2 linked regions of the Kluyveromyces lactis genome follow. The protein of the gene in region 1 interacts with the protein of each later gene in a pairwise test. Links are inferred from orthologs where the notes say so. Each region holds a gene or a part of one and is shown on either strand. Other genes may lie near its edges.

Evidence for each region. The genes of interacting proteins can lie anywhere in the genome.
Region 2: the proteins of SNF1 (region 1) and SIP4 interact in a two-hybrid assay, tested with the Saccharomyces cerevisiae proteins (3 studies listed by BioGRID). The link is inferred for Kluyveromyces lactis from reciprocal best matches to the Saccharomyces cerevisiae genes SNF1 and SIP4.

What each region holds. Positions count from the first base shown.
Region 1 is NC_006037.1:338,282-341,821, reverse strand, and holds SNF1 (AMP-activated serine/threonine-protein kinase catalytic subunit SNF1), read left to right. Parts: upstream 1-1,206; coding exon 1,207-3,015; downstream 3,016-3,540. UniProt on the Saccharomyces cerevisiae protein: Serine/threonine protein kinase essential for release from glucose repression.
Region 2 is NC_006042.1:1,328,179-1,331,742, reverse strand, and holds SIP4 (Sip4p), read right to left. Parts: upstream 2,819-3,564; coding exon 665-2,818; downstream 1-664. Other genes in the region: NTR2 (Ntr2p), read right to left, coding at 1-336.

The sequences.
Region 1 (3,540 bases):
AGCAATCGTTCAAAGAGGATGTCATTGAATCAGCAACAAGTTATGTTGTCAGTTACTGCAAACGATTTACTGAAACTTCCGATATTCGCTCGCACAATAAACCAACTGAACCATTGAATATCAATCGTGTTAAGAAGCCAAAATTATTAAAAAACCTATCTGCATATCTGGATAGAAACATTTCAGAATTCCATTTTGCGCCTAAGGATGAGTGGCAGATATACTTGGGGGAACCATTGGAGAAAGAGAAGGATTTTTTGAGCTATTGGCTTGAAAACCAATCAAGATTTCCTGCATTGTGCAGTCTGGCTCTTGCCTTTTACCACACTAAGCTCTCAACTGCTGACGTCGAAAGGAGCTTCTCAATCAGTAAGCGTGTTTTAGATGATAGATTTTCTCTTGCTAGTTCCAATTTAAAAAGCACAATGATAGTAAGGAATCGCTTGATGTGTTTCAATTTGGGCTCAAAGATGCCTGTGACTGAACATATTGCAACGGACTCTTGGACGGATGACGAGGACGATATGGAGCATTCAAATTTTAGCCAACAATCATTCTACGATCCTGCCGCAGTCATCGATATTTACTCCAGTGACAGTAGTGATTGAAACTAATACATAGATAGCAGAATTTTGGAATCACCAGTTTATAATGAGGAAAATACGATATTAACGTTATTCCTAATTATAAAAGAGTAATTGGGGAAGATTAAAGATGTAATATATACATCTTGGTTCGTATATAATAGCCACTTATCGAGTGGTGATGTACTTTAATGTAGTGTCATAGCATATTGACGTAGTGAAGAATGGATTCGTGAATTGTCTGAATCCTCTCGTAAAACGTGACAGGATTGGTGACTGAAAATGGTCAATTCGCCGGACTCGTCCCAGTACGGTCTCCTACATAAGGTATCAGTCATCATCAACGATTTCTACGCCGTTTACATTTTGATGATAAAATTGAAAACTTGTCATATACGGAACATCAACAATAAAAGAAGGATCAATGCGTAATTGTAGGGCGGATAGAATTGGGTTTTGTGAGACTCCAGAAACGTCACACTAGTATAAGAATTGCAAGTTTTCTAACAAGTTAGTCAACTTCTCAATTAGAAGCAACTATTCTCAGAGTAAACAAGATATCCCTCTGTTGAACGCAAACTCTTAGTGAAGCATTTACGAGTACATACTCATCAGAGAAGATATGTCGCACGACCCAAATCAACAACAGCCGCATGGTGGCTCAGGTCAAGGCCATCACCAACGCCAGCTGACTAACCACGCACAAGGCCAACATATCGGTAAGTATCAAATCATCAAGACCTTGGGTGAAGGATCATTTGGTAAAGTGAAACTGGCGTACCATATCTCTACGGGACAAAAAGTGGCATTAAAAATCATCAATAAGAAGGTTCTAGCCAAGAGTGATATGCAAGGTAGAATCGAGAGAGAGATTTCGTACTTACGTTTGTTGAGACATCCACACATTATCAAATTGTATGACGTGATCAAATCGAAGGACGAAATTATCATGGTGATTGAGTATGCTGGTAATGAATTATTTGATTATATTGTCCAAAGAGACAAGATGCCTGAACAAGAAGCAAGAAGATTTTTCCAACAGATTATTAGCGCAGTAGATTATTGTCACCGTCATAAAATTGTGCATAGAGATTTGAAACCAGAGAATTTACTATTAGACGAACATTTGAACGTTAAGATTGCTGATTTTGGTTTATCTAATATAATGACAGATGGTAACTTTTTGAAGACTTCATGTGGTTCTCCAAATTATGCGGCCCCAGAAGTCATCAGCGGTAAACTATATGCAGGTCCAGAGGTTGACGTTTGGTCTTCAGGGGTTATCTTATACGTCATGTTGTGTCGTAGGTTACCATTCGATGACGAAAGTATCCCAGTGTTGTTTAAGAACATTAGCAATGGTGTTTACACCATACCTAACTTCCTTTCCCAAGGTGCTGCGAGCTTAATCAAAAAGATGCTCATCGTCAATCCAGTTAATAGAATTACCGTGCATGAAATCATGCAGGATGAATGGTTCAAAGTTGATTTACCCGACTACCTAGTTCCTGCTGAAAGCACCCATCAAGAAAACTCTGAAAGCAAAACAGAAGATGGCGGCCCATCCGTGCCACTCGAACTGATCGATGATTCGTTAGTTCAAACGCTATCAAACACTATGGGTTATGACGTAGATGAGATATATGAGGCTTTAGAGTCCGATGAAGATCATCCATCTTTAAATGAAATCAGGGATGCCTATCAGTTAATTAAAGAGAACAGAAATTTAATCAACGACATCAAGGTGAACAAGCAACAATCTAATGACTTGGATACTTTCTTATCGCAATCTCCACCCACTTTCGAACAATCCTTGCATGCCCCCCCGGGCTCAAAAAATCGACACTCACACCGCCATTCAAAGAGAACACAGCAACGTACATATCAATATCATTATGGAAATGGTTCTCAGGATGGAGACAGCACGATTGCAATTTTACCTAGCTCGTTACCACAGATCCATAGAGCCAACATGGTAGCACAAGGGTCCCAGGCTGCTGCTAAGATTTCACCATTAAGCGTGAAAAAATCAAAAACAAGGTGGCATTTCGGTATACGATCAAGATCCTATCCATTAGACGTTATGGGAGAAATATACATTGCATTGAAAAACTTGGGAGCCGAATGGGCGAAACCATCAGAAGAGGACCTATGGACTATTAGAGTCCGTTGGAGATATAATATCGATATGCCTGATGACGAAATGAAGAACAAGCAGATTCCAGATTTAATGAAGATGGTAATCCAATTGTTCCAAATTGAGACAAATAACTACTTAGTGGATTTCAAATTTGATGGCTGGGAGTCCAGTAACGGTGTAGTGTATTCAAGTCGGAACGACGATGAAATGAGTACGTTCAGTGCATACCCCTTTCTACATTTAGCAACCAGGCTGATTATGGAACTTGCAGTGAATAGCCAAGGAAGTTGATTTTAAGGTTCATGAAATTAAAAAAATACTAACGGATAATATCCAACGAAGAGTGTATATAAGTTTGAATATTTGCTTAAAGTTTAAGCCTTATATACATATCATTAAATAATGACAATCACTATATTATATGAGAAATTACTCTTAGCTCACAACACTCGCCGGGAAGAAGAGGAAAACAACATACATGTTTTTGACACATGAAAAAAGAATGCATCGGCCGGGAATCGAACCCGGGGCCCAACGATGGCAACGTTGGATTTTACCACTAAACCACCGATGCTACTTTGTTGTAGTTTTCGTAAGATAGACTGAAGACAGGCCAGACGAAGGGTCATGTGAGCTAGCCAGCACACGGCAGAGTTCCAAGACGTCAGTGACTGGGCATATGGATCCTGTGGTATCCAGAAGGGAAGGCCTAGATGGATCAAAGAGGGTCACGTGACAATATTTAGTGAAATTGGAATAGGCAGAAGCTGCGCATGACGAGTGGCTCATGAGACTATCAGTTACCATGAAAAAGTC
Region 2 (3,564 bases), on another chromosome or scaffold:
GCTGCGGTTTTGTACTTTCTTGGTGTACTTAGGTGGTTCATTTTGTTCTTCCTCTGAACCTTCTAAATCTTCTAAATTCAATACGTTAATCGTTTCCTTTGTATTACGGGGTTTTGTTCCGGCGGGTTGCTCAAACAACGTGGAGTAATCATCATCATTGGTATATTCCTCTACTAGTGGTACCTGTTTGTTTCTTTTCAACTTGAACTTTAACGGTTTGGCCAGCTGCTCCTCGGTCTCTTCGTCAGAGATTGATGTTGCAGCTTTGTTGATCGAGGTTCCTATCAGATCTACGTCTTCATCGCTCTCTAAATCAGGCAACTTGATCTTTACCATGATGAGACAGCAGTATTGGGTGGAACGGAAATAATCTCTATATACCTCTCTGTCTTGTTATGTATTGTTCTGTCTCTTTTTCTATTCCCTTTGTTATGCTTTTCACCTTGTATTTTAATGGTATATATGAATATTAACTGATAAAACATTATAAGTATATTTAATGGGAGAAGTAAAGAATAGTGTCTAGTGAACAGAATAAATATAGTAATAATTATCATGAAAGGACTGAAGAGGAGATGACACTTAGTAGTAATCAGTAATAAATAGTTATGGATATTGCGGATGTTGATTCTTCTGTCTGAATTTTTCTGTTTGATTTGAGTAGCTACTCCTTGATTATGATGTGGTCGATCTTATTGTTGAAAAGTGAAAAATCAGTTCGATCTCCGGCTTTATGGATGCTGGACGCTCTTGCAGATGGATGGTGACCCATGCTTCGCCTCTTGGGCAATATTATCAATTCGTTGTAGTCACTTTCGTTATCTTCTTCGTAGCCTTCGTCATCAATTATGTTATCATTGGCATCGTCATATATCTTGAATAAATTAGTTGTGTCGTTAACGGTATCAGGTACCATCCCCATTGGTTTGAAATTCGAAATGGTTGGTGAAATATCTGACATGCCGATGGAGAGTTGGTAGTGAGAGATTAACCTTGAGAAAATGTCGTTATCATCCATCCAAATGGTGACCCATCGTTTCAACAACTTCTTGTATTTGTACCAGTTGAACGTTTCCTTTGGTTCATTCAATAAGTTCAACAAACAGTTCTCTATCAATTGTTTATTGTTCAAAGGCATAAACTGAACAGTCTTCAAGATTCTCGAATTTATTGGTTTCACGTTTGAATTATCGGATAGGATTAACCAATAAAGTGATATGATTTCATAAGATAGTTCCACGGAATTCGGTTGTTGTAAATATCGGCATACGAGGTATACCAAAGTGATACCGATTTCAAGTAAGTCGTTGTTTTCCAATTGAATTTGTTTGAAATCATGGTCTTGTAAATGGTGATAAAGTTTCCATTGGTAAATTAATTTGTAACCGAAGGATTCTATCAACAGCTGATATTTATTGTTAGTCTCATTAGCTAATAATTGAAGGTGACAACCATCCAATTGCAATATGAAATCATAAATGAGTTGGAACATCTTCAAATGAGGTGGGAACTCTGAAATGGTTGGTGGATGGAATTCATCGATTAAGAAATTAGTCTTAGGTAATCCGTTGATGAAACACCACCAGATCTGGAACACTTGGAATTGATAAAACGTGAGAAGCCTAATAACCTTTGACGTTGAGTTTTCATGTCCAACAAGATTGTTGTAATTCAAGAACAAAGCTGAATTGATGATCATATACTGGTTGAAATTAATCAAATCGTTAGTCCAAATGACAGAGTATGGGTTCTCCTGGGACATGAAATACCGTATTCCGAAATTCATCAGTTGAATCGATGATAATTTGTCCTGCGACAAGGAACCCAAAAGTTTAACCGCCTGGAAAATCGTCTCGTTATTGAAACAATTCAACTCGAACTGTACTATAAGTATTAGTACAATGGACACCGCAGGGTCAGAGACAGTCGAAGTCCCGGTTAGTACCGAGATCATTCGTTGGTGCCATGACGTCCCCAAGAGATATGGGAAGATTTGGTTCGAGTTCAAGTACTTATCAATTAATCGTATTACATCCTCAGCAGATAAGGGGATATTAATCGGTACACCGCTCGGTGAAAGTGGGAAATGTCGGTTAAGGTACGATAGAACCGGGTCCTGTACGATAGACCTTGTATACTGGAAAGACTTCAACTGAGATTTATTATGGTTGACGATCGAATTCCAGGTGAAATTACCTAGATACACTTGGTCATGGATATAGTTTGGGAATTTATGGAAAGTATCATTGATAAAGGGTAGGAACGTGGACGCAGGGGCCTGGGCCGGTACTGGCGCTGCCGATGCCGCTGGAGGAACCGAAACAGAAGACTTTGTTCCCATTTCCCCCACAGAGTTAAGGAATTCCTGGCCAGCAGGAATAACACCCGTCTGTGCAGTAGCTGCCACGGCAGCTACTGCACCATCAATCACGGTCTCACCGTTCTCGTCCACCATCCCACAAAGCCGCTGCAACTTAATCACCTCGTTCTCCAACATCTCCGTGTAACCCCTAGGGAACCCGCGTCTTGTAAGCTTATCACTAGTCGAACAATGGTACCCTATCTTCTTACAATTGGAACAACTAGGCTTGATACCGTCACATTTAATCTTCTTAAGCCTACATCTATCACATGCCTGTGAAAACCGTTTCACTTTTGTTGATGCCGTAGGCATCAACAATTTCTTCTCATTGTGTTTGTCGACTTTCCCATATTTACGCTTCTTACCTGACTGACTGCTACTGTCATCACTGCTATTACCAGTAGACATCTTACCAGCAAGCACGCCCTTTACATCATCCTGCGAAACACTTGGCATAGTGATATATACATATACTTGGCGCTACTACAGGAAGCTTATAGCAAGCTTACGTTCCAAACAGAAAAAAAAACATCTGATACCTACCATAAACCTTCCGGTTCATGGTTATATGGCAGAACGTTTCCCCAGGTCCGTTTGTCTTATATATCTGATTCAGAATCATGAATAATAATAATAATATTTGGCTATAAAAACCCTCGAGAAATCTAATTCAAGAAACTAAGGCAAGAAGAAACTACCTTTTAACAAGCCAAGAGAATAAACCAATGAGATAACCGAGATAGCTGGGACGTTTGAAGAATTTCCCTTAATTGATGGATCCCAGAAACTGACATTTGTGACATTTCCACAAGTGACGTTGGACATATTATTCAGTATTCGGTATGCTATAGACTATATAAGAGGGCTAATTAATATGCGTTAGTAGTGTGTAATTCCAGTTTTGCAATTGTCCCTTTCAGCCGGATCTGGGGAAAGGAAGTTTTGGGGACAAAAAAAGCGGTTCTAGGCGCGGTTTTCCGTGTAGTCAGCAAAAAAATTTGTGCAGTTATATCGGTTTATCGTAGGGAGAGTAAGGACCTGAAAGGATTTGTCCGGATGAAAGGCTAACGGGGAGAAGTCACAAGTCCGAATGGTGTATGGGTGGCGATGTTTGCCTGCTTCTTGCAATTTCACATGTGACAGATATATGAGTCAGCTGGACGGTTGCTGACAAGGATGATGACTCGACGGGGGGGGCGCCG